Oryctolagus cuniculus: one gene and its partners. The protein of the gene in region 2 interacts with the protein of the main gene of each other region in a pairwise test. Links are inferred from orthologs where the notes say so. Each region holds a gene or a part of one and is shown on either strand. Other genes may lie near its edges. The genes, in order: SP1, SREBF2 and NFYC.

The links.
Region 1: the proteins of SREBF2 (region 2) and SP1 interact in binary tests that used the Homo sapiens proteins (3 or more experiments, as listed by UniProt). The link is inferred for Oryctolagus cuniculus from reciprocal best matches to the Homo sapiens genes SREBF2 and SP1.
Region 3: the proteins of SREBF2 (region 2) and NFYC interact in binary tests that used the Homo sapiens proteins (3 or more experiments, as listed by UniProt). The link is inferred for Oryctolagus cuniculus from reciprocal best matches to the Homo sapiens genes SREBF2 and NFYC.

Annotation. Positions count from the first base shown.
Region 1 is NC_091442.1:56,372,275-56,378,605, forward strand, and holds the start of SP1 (transcription factor Sp1), read left to right. Parts: upstream 1-2,691; 5' UTR 2,692-3,106; coding exon 3,107-3,436; intron 3,437-3,761; coding exon 3,762-5,277; intron 5,278-6,331. UniProt on the Homo sapiens protein: Transcription factor that can activate or repress transcription in response to physiological and pathological stimuli.
Region 2 is NC_091442.1:117,823,791-117,828,399, reverse strand, and holds part of SREBF2 (sterol regulatory element-binding protein 2), read right to left. Parts: intron 4,202-4,609; coding exon 4,033-4,201; intron 3,731-4,032; exon of another isoform or gene 3,671-3,730; intron 1,935-3,670; coding exon 1,749-1,934; intron 475-1,748; coding exon 363-474; intron 227-362; coding exon 6-226; 3' UTR 1-5.
Region 3 is NC_091438.1:132,230,385-132,236,818, reverse strand, and holds the start of NFYC (nuclear transcription factor Y subunit gamma), read left to right. Parts: upstream 1-2,569; 5' UTR 2,570-2,658; coding exon 2,659-2,731; exon of another isoform or gene 2,732-2,844; coding exon of another isoform or gene 2,845-2,856; intron 2,857-6,434. UniProt on the Homo sapiens protein: Component of the sequence-specific heterotrimeric transcription factor (NF-Y) which specifically recognizes a 5'-CCAAT-3' box motif found in the promoters of its target genes.

The DNA of each region.
Region 1 (6,331 bases), about 61 Mb from region 2:
ATCTGTAGGAGTTAAGTTAGATAACAGATGTGAAATGTTTGCAGTACAGCTCCACAGAGTCAGCTCCTCTCCCCGCCACCCCCAGCAGGGTTAGGTGTGGTCCACTGCTGCATACACTGAACAGCCGTGAGTAATACCGTTTCTTCCTTTCCAGGAAGTTTCTTACCAACGTGTTTCTTAAGCTCATCTAGGAACCCATCACTTGAAAACACTCGTTCTCAAGCCCCACCCCAGAGATTCAGATTTCTTAGGTCTGGGGAGGGGGGTCTAGGAATCTCCCCGATATTGTCTGAGGAACTGCTGACACAGGGAGAGGTAGCTGATGGTAATCTGATAACACTTTATAAACAAGGCAAGGCGATGGCGCCCTTTTGAGCTGACCTGGGAGGAGAGGCGGGACTTGTCAGGGGCCAGAAGGTAAAATCAGAAAGGTATTTTACAACAAAGCCAATCTTATTAAGCCTATTTACATAAGGCATTGTTGTATTCACTTAAGGACTTCCCAGCAAACTCTCTGGGACAAACTTCTGGGGACCTACGACCCAGAAGCTGTGCGATTTCTGCCTTCTGCCGATACACTTTTAAGGCACCTAACACAGGGGCCCAGACCCTGGCCAGGGCGGCAACAGCCTTGTCTCTACCTGCAAGTCTTACTAGGAGGATCCAGATAGTAACACCCGAGAACTTGTAATGAGGTGCTGTATAATAATGAAGTGACTCCACGTTAACGACCCAAGTGCTACAGGGAATGACCTCATCGTGTCATTGACAAGCCATCAAGGCCCGGGGAAAAAAGACAAGATGGAGGCCCGCAATTCAGGTGCGCCGGGTGAAAGCTATTACTTTTGTACAAAAAGCCGGAGCTCGGCTACCTTGCTTTATGCTTCGTTTGCATTTACAACTAAGGGGTGGGGTTTGGAAGTGGCTTCTAAGACCCCGACCGTGCGAGGTTCCCCCATGCACTTCAGCTTCCAAGACGAATTCTCGAAAAGTTAACCCGCTGAGCAGCTCAGTGTTGAACGCCTTTGTCTTAATAAAATGGCGTTTGCTGGAGTCTTATAAAGACCTTGCAAATCGGTCAGCTCAGTCACAGCCGATTTCGTGAGCGCTGTCGCCAGGTCTCGTCCCTCCGGAACTCCCAAGGGTTTCCACCCACATCTGGAGGCAGCCGCCCGCTGGCCACCCACCCGCGGAGGGGAGCGGCGTGAGAGGCACTTTTCCCTCCTCCTTATTCCACCCCCATATATGAAAACCAAAACGAGCCCCCGCGGGCGAGGCACAACTACGCGCCGAGTGTCCTGGTTCTGCCACTTGTTGAGCTGCAGGGCTCTGCTGACGCGTACCACCTAATCACCGTAAAGACGTCCCCAGAGGAGGGCCAACATGGCGACGGACTTCTCTTGGCACAGCCCAGTTCCCTCCCTCATGATGGGAGGCCCAAATAACACCCATTGCCCAATTTGGAGGCGGTGCCAGACTCACCTCGCTCCCTCATTGGCCTGAGTAACTGAGGGAGAAGCCAATTCACCTCTGCCCACTCTAAGTTCCCGCCTACAGAGCCCACTCGGAATTTAATTGGTTTTTAGTTCACGTCAATATGCGTCCTCTTCCGTCTCTTTTCAGCATTTACCCAATCATAACTTTCCTGGCTGCCCGCCTGATTTCTGATTGGCTATGATCAGCTTCAGCCCAGCCCATTCCGGGCTATTTCTTACCTCTCCTCCCACCAGGACTTTGCCCAGGCACGTCCCGGATTGTGGTTGGTCATTGATGTGTCATTTCTATCGAAGCTCTTCCTATCGCTACCTCTCAGGGATCCCGCCTGCTGGCTGACTGGCTTATTTCCAAGCCTATCATCTCTAGCGCCCGCCTACCTTCACTTCCTGCATTCTTCATTGGCCTTGAAAATTGAGGGGGCGGCCTTTTTGGGCGGATACCAGGCATTCAACTTTGTCTTACACGCCTCAGGGAGCGAGTGAGTATTGTCATTGGATAGCCTGCCCGCCTTTCTTCTCCAAGTCCCTCCTTTCCCCCTCCCTCATTGGGCGGGGCAGCACTGAAGGGGCGGGGCCCAGGCTGGGCTTGCGGCGCGCTGCTCCCTCCTCCTTACCCCCCCCCTCCCTGTCCGGTCCGGGTTCGCTTGCCTCGTCAGCGTCCGCGTTTTTCCCGGCCCCCCCCAACCCCCCCGGACAGGACCCCCTTGAGCTCGTCCCTCAGCTGCCACCATGAGCGGTAAGGATGAGTCCACTCCACGCTGAGGGGTGGGAGAGGAGTGAGGGGGCGCGCGCGAGGGCAGACCGGGCGGTCCCCGCCGTGAGGGGGGGCGGGCGGGAGGCGGCGGCGGCGGCCTTGGTCCCGCCCGGGGCGGAGGGAAGGGAGGGAGAAGGGGCAGTGGCGGGGCCTCCGAGAAGGAGGGGGATGGGCCGCCCGCCCCGGGGGAGGGGGCAGCGTGGCCTCGCCCGCCCCCTGCCCGCCCCGGCCACGGGGGGGACGGCCTTACCCCCCACAACTCGGCCTCCCGCCTCAGGCTCCTCCCGTCGGGGGGCTGGAGCCGCGGGGGCGGCCCGAGCAGGGCAGGCCCCGCCCGGGCCAACCGCCTCCCTGGTCCGCCCTCCGGTCGCCGCCTGCCCCTAGGCCCTCCTCCCCCCACTTTCCGTAGACCTCCCCTCCCCCCCAGCGTCCCGCCCTTTCCACGCCCCTCACCCCGAAACCGCCCTTTCCCTCCAGGGCCCGCCCTTTCCCCGCCCCGAAACCTTCTGATTGCTCACTCCTGCACCCCTTTATCCCCTTACCTGTGGTCCCCAATGGTTCCCCACTCCCGCTTACCGTTTCTCCTTCCCCCCTTTTCCCCTGTCTCCTCTCGGTGCATTTTGTACTTGGATTTTTTGCCTCCATCGCTCTTGTCCCTAATTTTAGCAAGCTTTCCATCCACCCACATGTTGTTTGGCCTTACCTGTCCTGCTCCTTTCTACCCCCAGGACACGTTTTCTTATTTTGAAACCCTTTGTACGGGCCTGCGTGGCCTATTCCCAGAGCACCTTTTTCTGAGTTTAATTTTTGTGCAAGGAAAACCTGAGGCCAAACTTCGTGGCCGTGAGCCTGGCTCATGACACATGTGCCTTGCAGTTCCCCCCTGCCCCAATGCATTTTCTTTGTACTTCCTGTTAGTCACTGCTGTTTCATCATAGCCTTCTGTAAACTCTCCTGCACTCTATCCACCCCCTCCTCCCCTTCCCCCACGCTAAGTTGTTTTTTCTTTTTCATTCTTTTTTTAGACCAAGATCACTCCATGGATGAAATGACAGCAGTGGTGAAGATTGAAAAGGGAGTTGGTGGCAATAATGGGGGCAATGGCAACGGTGGCGGTGCCTTTTCTCAGGCTCGGAGCAGCAGCACGGGCAGCAGCAGCAGCAGTGGAGGAGGTGGAGGCGGGCAGGTGAGTGACAGCCGGAACTGGGGGCGGGGAGGTGTTGAGAGGATGGTTGTAAATACTCGTAGAAAACTGGCTTACTCTTCCCAGAAGAGTTTTAGGAGAGGATTACATTTTATAGATGGGGAAGCCAGCGCAGAGACTCAAGGAACTTAGATTCGCTAAAGATGGTAGTTTGCAGCAGTACCGATAGGACCTCCTTTCTGTTTTTGGGTTGGTTTTTTCCCCCCCTTTTTAATCTTCATTGTGTTGCTGTTTATTTGTTGTATACTGCCCCCTAGGCTGGTGGCTGGGTGTCACTAACTCCTCTCATCTCCCCCTTTCTGGCCAGGAATCCCAGCCATCCCCTTTGGCTCTGCTGGCAGCAACTTGCAGCAGAATTGAGTCTCCCAATGAGAACAGCAACAACTCCCAGGGCCCCAGCCAGTCAGGGGGCACAGGTGAGCTTGACCTCACCGCCGCACAACTTTCACAGGGTGCCAATGGCTGGCAGATCATCTCCTCCTCCTCTGGGGCTACCCCTACCTCAAAGGAACAGAGTGGCAGCAATACCAATGGCAGCAATGGCAGCGAGTCTTCCAAGAACCGCACCGTCTCTGGTGGGCAATATGTAGTGGCTGCCACCCCCAACTTACAGAACCAGCAAGTTCTGACAGGATTACCTGGAGTGATGCCCAACATTCAGTACCAAGTAATCCCCCAATTCCAGACCGTCGATGGGCAGCAGCTGCAGTTCGCCACCACGGGGGCCCAAGTGCAGCAGGATGGTTCTGGTCAGATACAGATCATACCAGGTGCAAACCAACAGATCATCACAAACCGAGGAAGTGGAGGCAACATCATCGCTGCTATGCCAAACCTGCTTCAACAGGCTGTCCCCCTCCAAGGTCTGGCCAATAATGTGCTCTCAGGACAGACTCAGTATGTGACCAACGTCCCGGTGGCCCTGAACGGGAACATCACCTTGCTACCTGTCAATAGCGTTTCTGCAGCTACCCTGACTCCCAGCTCTCAGGCAGTCACCATCAGCAGCTCGGGGTCCCAGGAGAGTGGCTCACAGCCCGTCACCTCAGGGACGACCACCATCAGTTCCGCCAGTTTGGTGTCATCACAAGCCAGCTCCAGCTCCTTTTTCACCAATGCTAACAGCTACTCCACGACGACTACCACCAGCAACATGGGAATCATGAATTTCACCACCAGCGGATCGTCAGGGACCAACTCTCAAGGTCAGACACCCCAGAGGGTCGGGGGGCTGCAGGGGTCTGATGCGCTGAACATCCAGCAGAACCAGACGTCTGGAGGCTCCCTGCAGGCAAGTCAGCAGAAGGAGGGAGAGCCAAACCAGCAGACACAGCAACAGCCGATTCTGATCCAGCCTCAGCTAGTTCAGGGGGGACAGGCCCTCCAGGCCCTCCAAGCGGCGCCGTTGTCAGGACAGACCTTTACAACCCAGGCCATCTCCCAGGAAACCCTCCAGAACCTCCAGCTGCAGGCTGTTCCAAACTCTGGTCCCATCATCATCCGGACACCAACCGTTGGGCCCAATGGACAGGTCAGTTGGCAGACTCTTCAGCTGCAGAACCTCCAAGTTCAGAACCCACAGGCCCAGACAATCACCTTGGCCCCGATGCAGGGTGTTTCCTTGGGGCAGACCAGCAGCAGCAGCACCACCCTTACACCCATTGCCTCAGCTGCCTCCATCCCTGCCGGCACAGTCACTGTGAATGCTGCTCAACTCTCCTCTATGCCAGGCCTTCAGACCATTAACCTCAGTGCGTTGGGTACGTCAGGAATCCAGGTGCACCAGCTCCCAGGCCTGCCGTTGGCCATAGCAAATGCCCCAGGTGAGTCTTCGAGTCTTTTGGAAGTCTGCATTTATAATGAACTGACTAGCATAGCAGCTGAAACTATGGAGTGGGAAGAAGGGAACAGCACCTTTTGGGCTAACACTTGCCCCAGGGCTGGTCAGTTAGAGAAATAGCAGTGCTTCTTTTGAAATCATGTGGAACTAAATTAACAGAAACTTTTCAGTTAATCTGATGTGAAAGGAGCAATTCTGGGCAATGTCCTGAGGTTTATGTGCTTCCCAGTCTCTGGTGTTGCAGGAAAAAGGTTGAAGAAGTGTCTTTTTGTTTGTGTGTTTGTTTGTTTTTGGATACAAGGTCAGAGAGTAAATATTTTGGGCCTTGTGGCCAGCATATGATCTCAGTCACGTACTCTTTGTTTGCGTGTTTTTTTTTTTTAAGTGTTCATTTTAATTGAAAGGCAGAGAGACACACAGAAAAACAAAGAGATCTTCTATCTGCAGCTTCACTCCCTAAAAGCTTGCAAAACCTGGGGCTGGTCAGGCTGAAACCAGGAGTTGGGGCCTCTATTCGAGTCTCCCACATGGGTGGCAGTGGCCCAAGTACTTGAACCATCATCTTGCTGCCGTAACAGGAAGCTGGATTGGAACAGTGTGGAGCAGCCAGGACTTGAACCTGCACTTTGACATGGGATGGGAGCCGTGGCTTAACCAGCTGTGCCACAGTGTCCATCCGTTTGTGTGTATGTGGTTTTTAAACACTCCTTTGAAAATGTAAAACCGTTCTTAATTCTATGGACTAACTCCTGCATAGGATACAAATTGATTATGAGCTTCATCTGTCAGGTTTTTCTCAAGAACTGTAACTCCTAATCGAGGGGAAAGTGATCTAACGAGTTCCAGAAAGTTTTTCAACAAAATAAGTTCCCCTGGTTAATCTGTCGATGACTGCAAGCTTGTCAGTCAAGCTTTCATCTTTTTCTTAAACTCATTTATTTTAAAAACAGGATTTCTCCGCCTCACACTAATACGTATTTTATGTGAACTTCCTAGGTGTTTGTAATGCTTTCTAGGTGGAGACTGCGTTGAAAGCA
Region 2 (4,609 bases):
GGCGGTCAGGAGGCGGCGATGGCCGTGCCGCCGCCCAGCTTGACGATCATCTGCTGGCAGTCGCTGCAGGAGCGCCGGTCGCCCGCCTTCTCCAGGGTGCGGGCCGCCTCGGCGAGCAGCACTGCCCGCTGGCCCGGGGACGAGAGGAAGGAGAGGGGCAGGTGGCGGCAGGCCAGCAGGATGGCGGTGGCCCGCTCTCGCTGACCGGGCCAGGCGTCCACCTCTCCTGCGGGAGGGAGGGGACGCGTGGGTGAGTGGGGAGCCGCTGTCCCCAGGCCTTTCTGTGGGGCGTTCCCTTCAGCCCCACCCCTCCCACGCGGCTGCGCCCCTCGCCGGCCCGGGGCGGCCGGCAGCGGACTCACCGTGCTTGGTGCTCTGGGTGCTGCGGCGCCGCAGGCTGTGCTCCAGCAGCCGGTGCGTGCGGGTGGGGCTGGCCCCCGCCATCAGGCGCACGGTGGCTTCGTGCAGGAACACCTGGGGAGGGGCAGGAGGACATGCAGTCAGTCCCAGGTGCTCCCGCTCCGCGCCCGTGCGCACTGCCTGCGCCTCTCTGCGGCTGCTCTCCTCGCGCCCCCACCTCGCTCCTCGCTCCTCGCTCCTCGCTCCAGCCAGCTCTGCTGTACCCGAGGCAAACCGGAGCCTGGATGAGTGGCGGAAATGGGGGACAAGGCACCGGCCAGCTGGTGGGGGCAGGAGCAAGACAAGGCCAGAGGCAACAGGCCTGCCTTCCTCGGCTGGCGAGAGTGCCCTGACGTGCACCCGAGGCCGGCTCAGCGGACGGCAGGCCAGGGAGGCCGGCGTGGGGGTGGGGCACAGCTGGGCTGGTACCAGAGGGGGCCTGCACCCCTCCCCTCCTGTGCTCCCGGGAGGAAGAGCGCACACAGGGTCCGCTCTCAGGTCAGGGTGAGGGGTGAGGGGAGCGGGGAGCAAGCTCAGGCCTGCCCAGGTCTCAGGCTCTTCCCAGCTCTCCTGCCGTCCGTGGGCAGGCTCTGTGCCTAGGAGGCAGCTGAGGGGCTGCGCCGTGAGCTGGGGGCTGTGGCCAGCGCGGGTCCCAGCGGCAGGGGTGCTGCCCCGAACCAGGGGTGCACTTCTTCTTTTGCATGGACTGCTTCTTGGATGACGCGTTCTATCTGCCGTTTGGACGGCGGCCCCTGGCCAGTGTGGCCTGTGACCTGGCCAGCGTGGCCTATGAGGTCCCCGCACCTCAGGGCGAGGGCACCTCCATCTCGGCCCCCTCTGCTTTCTGGCAGCCTTCTACAGGTAGCCCGCTCGGCTCCTGGGTCTCCTCACTCAAGTGGCCCGAAAATAACTCGGGTGAAAATCAGAGACAAGGCATGACCCGAGTCCCGCTGGCCCGGTTACAGGACTGTCCTCAGATGCTGTGGCCGCGCCAAGGGGATGTGACCTGGAGATGGTCAGGCAGCAGAACCAAGGCCCCGTGGCCCAGTTAAAAATTTACAGTGCATTTCCCTTCGGCTGTAGCTCCGGGAGACTTACTCTTACTCCCATCAGTATGGCGCTCCCCTGGGGACAGGGCCAAAGAGCCCTCCTACCCAGCATCTGACTGCACTTCAGGGTGGGGTGCCCAGCAGGGGCTGGACCAGTGTGCCCTGACCCAGCGTCAGGCCCGAGCAGGTGCCTGACGGCCACCTGGAGACTGGAGGGCCAACTCCACCACCACCTGCTGGGTCTAGGACCTGGGCCCCACAGACCCCCTCTGCCCTCCACCACCACCTGCTGGGCCTCACCTTGCGGTAGGCTGGGCGGAAGCTGTGTGCTAGCCGGCGCAGGCTGCCCAGGTCCCGCTGGAAGCCAGCCAGCTCGGAGCCTGACGCGTGGTAGGTCTCACCCAGGGCCTGGCTGGCGCCTGCCTGCTTTTGCCAGAGCGCTGTCCGCAGCGACAGGAGCAGGTCACAGGTGAACAGCTGGAACACCTGGGGGTGAGCCACGGGGGAGACAGGTGACCGCCTATCCCTGAGAACAGGGGCCCAGCCCCGCAGGCCCTGCCCCAGCCACACTCAGCCGCCCTGGAGGAAGCAGGGTGCCCGGAGCCTGGGAACTGCCGGCAGCTGGCGCTTGGTCCCAGCTCTGACAGCACAGGCAGGGCAGGAGCAGGAAGGAACCCACGCGGTCTGAAGGCACAGGTTCTCCACCTCCTAGGGTCCCCCGTGGCAGGCCTGGGGGCCGAGCTACCCGAAAGCCCACGGCCGCCTCCTACAAGGGGCAGAGGTAGGGTGTGTGTGAGTGTGCACTTATCTCCTGGGGCAGGGTGTGTGTGTGTGTGCACTCATCTCCTGGGGCAGGGTGTGTGTGTGTGCACTCATCTCCTGGGGCGGTGTGTGTGTGTGTGTGTGCACTCATCTCCTGGGGCAGGGTGTATGTGTGTGTGTGTGTGTGTGCAGTCATCTCCTGGGGCAGGGTGTGTGTGTGTGTGTGCACTCATCTCCTGGGGCAGGGTGTGTGTGTGTGTGTGCACTCATCTCCTGGGGCAGGGTGTGTGTGTGTGCACTCATCTCCTGGGGCGGTGTGTGTGTGTGTGTGTGTGCACTCATCTCCTGGGGCAGGGTGTATGTGTGTGAGTGTGCACTCATCTCCTGGGGCAGGGTGTGTGTGTGTGCACTCATCTCCTGGGGCAGGGTGTGTGTGTGTGTGTGTGCACTCATCTCCTGGGGCAGGGTGTGTGTGTGTGTGTGCACTCATCTCCTGGGGCAGGGTGTGTGTGTGTGTGTGCACTCATCTCCTGGAAGGCAGGACCGTGTGCGCTTCAGCACTTGGCTGTTGGGCCAGCTGACCTGGCTGCCATCCTCGTCTTGCTGCCACGGCGTGCAGCCACGTAACCTGGCATCAGCTTCTCCTCCCTGAGTCTCAGGGTCCTCATCCACAGGGGACTGGCTTGTGTGAGGGCACGAAGCCTCACGGGTATGGGCTACATACACCACACGCCAGTCCAGGCTGCCCACCTGCTGCCACGCCCACAGCACAGGCCGAGTGGTGGGGGCAGGAGCTCCCCTCTGATGGGACCTAAGAGGTCCCCAGGCCGTCCCTCACCTCCTCAGTCCTGGCTGTCCTCGTCCCAGACCCCCACCCACCCTGTGCTTGCTCGGAGCCCTGCTCCTGGGCCACACTGTCCTCGGGCCGCCCTGGGACAGCCTTGGGCTCCGTGGGCCTCCTCTTCCAGGCTCGTTCCCCAGCTGAGCGGCTGCCCGCAGCTCTGGGCCCCCAGGGGCCGAAGTGTCCCGCTGCTCCCTGACCACAGCCGACCCTGTTCTCTGGAAGACTAGGAGAGCCCAGCAGAGACGCCGGGAGGTGGCGCCCCTCCCCCGATCCTGGGCCCGGTCCGTCAGCTGCCAGGCCTTGCGCGGCTGGCACACTCCTGGGCTCTCCCTCGGCGTCCAGCGTGAAGTGCCGGCTATCACCGAGGCTGGCCCTCTGGGCCGGTCCTGGGCCCCTCCTGTCGCGGGGGCTGAACCAGGCGCTCAGCGGATCGCTCGATGCTCCACCCCAGCAACACATTCCACTCCCTCCCCTCTGGTCTCTGGCTGGGCCTTGGGACCCAGCAGTGGCAACAGTGCCCTCTAGCCAGGATCCCCACCCCAAGGGGGGGTCCTTGGTCAAGGCCTGGGCGGGGGCGGGGGCAGGGGCGAGTGTCCGAGGGCCGGGCAGGCCTCTGGGATGCACTGTGGAAACATTGCACGGTACTTCCAGAACATGCAATGCAACTACAATGCACCGCAGCTGCCCGCCAGGAGGGGGCGCTGCCACGCAGGTGGGCCCCCTCGAAGGCTGGCCTGCAGAACAGGGAGGTCCTGCAAGCTGCCTGCAGCAAAGATGGCGCCCTGGCCAGCTGGGTCTGGGACTGAGGGAGCCCAGCACGGGTGCCAGTGGAAACGCGAGCTTCCACCTGGGCCAGCCGCCCGTGCTGTGCGAAAGGGGCCTGGAGCATGGCCTGTCTCATGCGATCGCCCAGGCGGGTGGCGGTGTCCTTCCAGACCAGTGCCAGGACTCCCAGAGGGGTCGGCTGCGCCCACTCACGTGGTTGAGGCCGGGGTCAGAGGTGGCCCCGCTGACGCTGAGGCTGCTCCACAGGTGGCTGCTGGCTCTCTCGCAATGGCAGAAGGAATTCTGCTGCCCGTCCGCCTTCCCGGAGAGCGAGGCGTGCATGGCTCTGCAGACGTGGAAGACGGCTTTCACCAGGGGGCTCCTGCAGCAGACAGGGACAGGCAGGTCAGCGCGCGTCCCCCGGGTGCCCGGCATGCCCCACACGGTGGGTGTGGGGGTCTGCCGCCTGCAAGGCCCGCCCCACCTACCGCACCTCCTCCACCCGGGGCTGGAAGGGGCCAGAGTGCCATGGAAAAGCCACCTAGGCTGGTCATTCAAACAACCTGGGCCACACGTGCTTTGTAACCAAGTGGCCACACGCCGCTCGCTAGTTCCTGTGGCAAAATAAAGCGTGGTTCCCACTTTTGGTACCTGCTCTCTAAGGGAGCATCCCAGACAGGTGTGGTTGTCACAGACCACCTGGGGAGAGGCTGGTGAAGGGTGCCTATGGCATCATTGCCCTGAAGAGCAGAAGAAGCCACAATGCCTGACCCCAGGGGCCAGGCCTGCG
Region 3 (6,434 bases), on a different chromosome or scaffold from region 2:
TTACAGGGCACTGTTTTGTCAGATATTTGGCTAGGTCTGTAGCCGTCAGGTCAATTTTTTTTTTTTTTTTACAGGCAGAGTGGACAGTGAGAGAGAGAGACAGAGAGAAAGGTCTTCCTTTGACGTTGGTTCAACCTCCAATGGCTGCCGCGGCCAGCACACTGCGTCTGGCGCACCGCGCTGATCCGATGGCAGGAGCCAGATATTTATCCTGGTCTCCCATGGGATGCAGGGCCCAAGGACTTGGGCCATCCTCCACTGCACTCCCGGGCCACAGCAGAGAGCTGGCCTGGAAGAGGGGCAATTGGGACAGAATCTGGCGCCCCGACCGGAACTAGAACCCGATGTGCCGGCGCCGCAAGGCGGAGGATTAGCCTAGTGAGCCACGGCACCGGCCTGTCAGGTCAAATTTAATATTAGCCAGATTTCTAATTGTTGAACTAGTGAGGATGACTAATGATTTGTGCTTTCTGCACATATATGTGGCACCTAAACTTTCCTTGGATATGCCTTTAAGTGCTCCATCTCTTGGTTTTAGCAGTGTGGTGCGAAGGAAAGAATACCATTCTAGGAAGGACCTGGGTTTGCATCTAGATGTATGGCTAGGGACCGGTTATTTAACTTCTCTGAACCTCACTTGTCTAGAAAAGATCTTACTTACTGATCTAGTGAAACAGCTCTGTGGAGTCTAGGATATTTAGCTTTGAAGGGAGAAAGCAGATCTAAGGAAATTATTAAATAACTTAGATAATGGTGTGATGTTTCCATCTGAATGTCTCACTTAAAAAAAAAAAAAAGACATGTTCATTGATTTTACCATATTAGGAGCCTCCTCTTAAAACCTAAGCAGTTGGTCCCAAAATCCATGAGCAAATGTGACCACCACTGTTGAACTTCAGTACCCCCTGATGTCTTTAGTAACCACATTGAGTCAAATAAGGATACTCATAATATTTGTCCTGAGACAGTCCTGCTGCTTATTCTTGAAAATGTAGAAGTAACCTTTTTTTTTTTTTTAAAGATTTTATTTATTTACTTGAGAGGTAGAGTTACAGATAGAGGGAGAGACAGAGAGATCTCTCATCTACTGGTTCACTCCCCAAATGGCCGCAACAGCCGATCTGAAGCCAGGAGCCTGGAGTTTCTTCTGGGTCTCCCATGAGAGTGCAGGCCCAAGCACTTAGGCCTTCTTCTACTGCTTTCTCTGGCCATAAGCAGAGAGCTGATCAGAAGAGGAGAAGCCGGGGCCCTAACCAGTGCCCATATGGGATGCTGGTGCCTCAAGCGCATGCTCAGCTCACTACACCACAGCAGTAGAAGTAACCCTAAAAACTAAATGGGGCAGGCGGTTGGTGCATCTGTTAAGCGGCTGCTGGAGACGTTTTAGAATGGGTCAGTCCTAGCTCTGCTTCCCATTCCAGCTCTCTACTAATTAGCATCCTGCGAGGAAGCAGCTGGTGACCCAAGTAGTTAGGTCCCTGCCACCCTTGTAGGTGCTCTGGGTTGAGTTCCTGGCCCCTGTGGCTTTAGATTGGCCAAGCCTTGGCTGTTGTAGTCTTTGGGAGTAAACCAGAGAATAAGAGATCTCTGTCTCTCTGCCTTTCAAATTAAATAAACAAGAGAAAGAGAGGGAGAGAGAAAGAAGGAAAATTAACCAGCAACATTTTGTGACCCCCTAAATAAATTAATCCATCAAACTATAATCAACTTTTAACAATACAGTCACTGACACTCTGTATTCTTTGCCAGTTTTTTCCACCTTTTTCATTGTATTTCCTTCTTGGTTCCTGGTTGGCTTTTTGGGAGTGCCGCTGCCCCTGCCACTGTCATATATTATCCCCAGATTTTCCTACAGTTTGTGTTTTAAGATAAATTGCTTTGCCCTGGTACTAATCCGTGCTTTTAAAATTACTATAAACATATGATAGATACCTGTTAGAAATCCTGCAAATTATTCTATGGCCACTGGCCTCACTGCTTGTTATTGTTAGAGCTACTGAGGTATTGGGGGCGGGGGGCAGTTTTCTTTTTTTCTTTTTTTTTTTCCTTTCTGTTTAATGCTCCACGGAAAACTGAAGGTGATTATAACTTTCCGACCTTGTGCACATTGCTTCTCTGGTTTACTGCCATAGGATACTGTAGCAGTATCTTACAGACATCTTTGATGACCAATCAGAAGCAGTTAAATTACCTTAAATTTTTTAAATGGAACTCTGACAGCCAATAAGAAATCCCTTGGGTGGGAACTGTAACAACCCTTTCGCCTGATTTTCAGAACAATTCTAAATTTGCAGTCTCCTGTTTTGGAAGCACATGAGACTGTAGTGCATCTGCTGTGTGCATTTGCTGAGCATTTCCAGCATTTAAGTTCCCTGTAGTTTGAAGTCTGAATCTGACCCCTGTTCTGCTTCTCAAGGTAACTTTAAAACAGGAAGTGTACAAAGGAGGTAACTGATGACGTGAACAGCCAATCATGTCTTTGTGTTCTTAGCCGATAAAGCAGCTCAGCCAATGGGACTACTCTGGAGGCAAGGTTTGGTGTCAAATAGCATGCTAGATTGAATGCCTTTGACTGTTAAAGTGGAAGGAGGCTGCAGGGCTTCATTGGAGCCTCGGAGTTTTTCACTGAGGCAGGGGTCAGCTGAAAGACAAAGAAAAATGGCGAATAGTTTGCTGGGGGGTGGAGGGACAGCTGTTCGGGCTTTCACTGGAGTGGACATTCCAGACTCAGGTTTCTGCATCTCCTGCTGCCTTTTGTTTCCTCCGTCCTTTTGGGGGGGGAGGGATAGGAGTGACTTAAATTCTCCTAGTCCGAGGAGATATAAATAACTACATGTAAAATTAATGCAGTTCCCGGTAAGTTTAATTCTTTGTTTTGTGTTGAAATGATAGAAACTGTTTAGCTTCAGAGAGTGTAGACAAGTTGCACTGTTTCAGAAAATGGCCACTTTACATTCCATGCATACCTTTTGGTGCACCTAGAATACCTTGCTCTGTTTAGATGTTGCATGTCCTTCAACTGGGGTTTCTTTTCCTAGTTGAGTTTTGACAAGATCACGTACATGAAGAAAGGCTAATCATTTTTCAGGGGCACACAGAAGCAAAGCACTTTATCTTTGCCTTGGGTAAACTTAACTGTTTTCCAAATAATTTTCCTTTGTTCAAGTGCACTGAAGCTTTCCTACAGAATAAGCTGAGTTGTTGTCAGAGTTTTTCTGTTTCCATGTGCTTTGTTGACATCTGTGTTATCAGAGGTGGAAGAACACTATTGCTTTCGAAATTTGTGTGAAAATATAATTTGCACTGATGCAGGTTCTCCTGGCGAAGGCCCACATGTTAATGTGAGATTCTCCCATAACTTTCTTGATTTACCTGTCTTCTTCTGGAGTCTAATTACCATTAATTGATTTATTAACAATCTTTGTTGTAAAATGCACATTTTAGCTTGGAATGCTGGTTAGAAACATCCTACTCCAGGTATCTTTGCAGTGACAAGAGCAAGTCTTTTTCCATCAATTTCACATACTTTGTCAGGTGTTGATTTGGTTCTTTAAAATAATGTTAGCTAAATGCTTTTCATTTTCTGTGTGGAGTATTTAAAATGGTAATTTACCTGCAGTTTGTGAATAGGGAAGTTAAGAGTGCAAGCATTCTGTCTTGCCCTTGATACACCCCTTTAGTGATATGAAGCTAAAGTAGGTTGATAATCAGTAACTAACCAGTTCTTTTGAATAGTGACATCTTCAGTCCCTTGTGTTGAGGTCTGTAATATACCTGATTTTAAAAGGCAGCTCTTTGTTTTCTTTTTATTTGCAAATACGGAATGAAGGTCATTGGAACATTTCTGCAGCAGACTCAGGGTGAAGCAGTGAGCCAGCAGCCCTCGTTCTCTGGGCAGGGAAAATGAGCAGGCCCTGTTAGAGAAGTTTGGAGGGTGTGATTTGCCTTCCCTGGCCTCCCCTCTAGTAAAGGGTTTACTTAGAGTATCAGTAGGGGGTTAGATTTGGGCTCTGGTTGTTGGAATGGTGTAGAAGTCAAAGTTCCTGGATGCAGGCCTCTGTCGTTGCTCGAAAAAGTGACCTTGAAAAACTGCCGAGCAGTTAAAAGATTGAAGGACAAAGTTTGTACAGATTTGGACCGAAAAGCTCTATTTAAGATGAAACGAGACTGCTTCTGATGTTCAACTTGAGTGTTTAGTAGGAATATATTACAGATTCATATTAGTTTTCAAGCAGTAAGACAATAAGGCTGCATTCATTCCCTCTTCCACTCTTTTCTGTCCCCACCCCCGCAAGAACAACAGAATAAAAAAAAACTCTCAATCTTTTTGGTGTGATAGTTGAGTATCATAGTATCATGCCACTTGTCATCTTTGTGATCTAGGGGGTGCTTGGTGAAAAGTGGTATTTCAGGAGTTCAATGTTGCATTTACCAAACTTCTTTTGGGAGATTGGCGTGCTTATGGTAAGAAAATGTTCATTTTGGGAATGTAAGTCCTAAGAGAAAGGACTGCGTTAAAAATTACATTTTAAGGAATGATTATTTTAATTGAAGCTTACTTTTTAGAAGTCCTTGATTTATATGTTATCTGTTGGTTTCAGGTTTTTCTTATATGATTTAAAAAACTGTTGTAGATGTTGAGTGACCCTACTGGATCTGGATTAGAAGGCCTGGAGCATAGGAAGAAAAAGTTAAAGTTGGGGTACCGTATGAGGCCTAGGTAAAACTGTTGACTTGAGAACTTTATGAATTTAGTTTCTTGGAAAGCTGTCTAGCCTAGATTTTTTACCTTTTCAGGGTCAGGGACTCTCTGAGAATCTGACCCACCATCTGGAGAAAAATGAACGTAAGCATGCCTATGCAGATCTTCTGGTAGCTAAGATGTTTCTAGTGTATGTTGAACAGCATTTATATCAAACACTTTAGCCAGATAAGTGTTTTCCAGAGAAATAAAAACTTTACTTCCAGAAAGATCAGAGCTCTTCTAGAGCTAACTGTAACTTAACTGAGGTGACTGTATGGGTGGGTACGGGGCCTTAGATGGGGTCTAAGATTTGGATATTTATTTACTTTGATTAAAATATTTTGAGGCAGCACAGCACAAGCCTTTTAAAGTCAGGAAATGGTGTTCAAGTTCCATCCAGGTCGATTGCCAGCTTTGTGAGCTTGGACAAGTCAGCCATTTAGTGTCAGCTTCCTCATGTATAAAAATGGGACCCCAGACAGTGCCCTCTTACTTAGTGCTGAGTCTTGAATGAGATCATGTGTATTTGTGCTTTGGAAATTGTGAAGTACTGCATAAATATTAAGTTACTAATATCAGACTGAATCCAAACTATTGGGGGATTAAATGTGTATGAAGATAGGTGTAGCATCAGAGGGAAAAAATGCCAGTATTTAACATATTTACAGATTTTTAAAAAACTGACATCTCTTTTTAAACTAGTTCTGCATGCATTCACCTGCATATTCCTGTTTATGCAAGCATGACCCATTTGATGCATATGTTAAGTTCATTAAACCTTCATCCATTAAGATTCCTATGAAAGAATTTTAACTCTTTTGTCAAAAATTAAGGACCTCTTAGAATAAGATGAAAGGGGGATGCTGATTAGATTAGACTGAGGGATCTTGGAGTGAAAGCTGGGAGTCTGTTCTGATTAGATGTTGAAATTTGCATTATAAGGCAATAAGTTGTAATCATTGCAGATGTTTGCTAAGCAGAGTTACATTTTCAGTTTGTGCACCAAATATTTATAAAGTAAACTGTAGCCCTCTTTTATTTGCTTTGAGGTCATGTGATCTCCTTTCTGTCAGTCTTCAGCTTGCAATGTCCTAGCAAGCAAGTAAATGTTGAGATGAAGACTTTCTTTTTTACATAAATTGGCCTCAATAAAATCTAAATGCTAGTTTACATTTCATCTCATTGATACCTACTGTAAGATACCTCTAACATAAATGGTAGAAGCCCGTAGGGATTTCTTTACCGATTTTCCATGGCTAGTGTCATCTATTTTTAGGGCTTCCCTTTTTTTTTTTTCCAGGGGTGGGGTTGATATTTTGTGATCTATTTAATTTCCTGTCCTATTAAGTCACTTCCTCTCAGGCATGGTCAGTCAGTATTGACGTCAGCTCTTTTCTGTGCATTGAGTCATATCAGACAGGGTGAGATTTGGCAATATTGGCATTGGCTTTTCCAAATTAAGTCCCAGTTCCAGGGATATGGCTTTGTTTTTAAAATTTATTTTTTTTAAAGATTTATTTATTATTTACTTGAGAGAGTTACACAGAGAGAGGAGAGGCAGAGAGAGAGAGAGAGAGGTCTTCCATCCGATGGTTCACACCCCAATTGGCTGCAATGGCTGGAGCTTCTTCCGGGTCGCTCACGTGGGTGCAGGGGCCCAAGGACTTGGACCGTCTTCTACTGCTTTCCC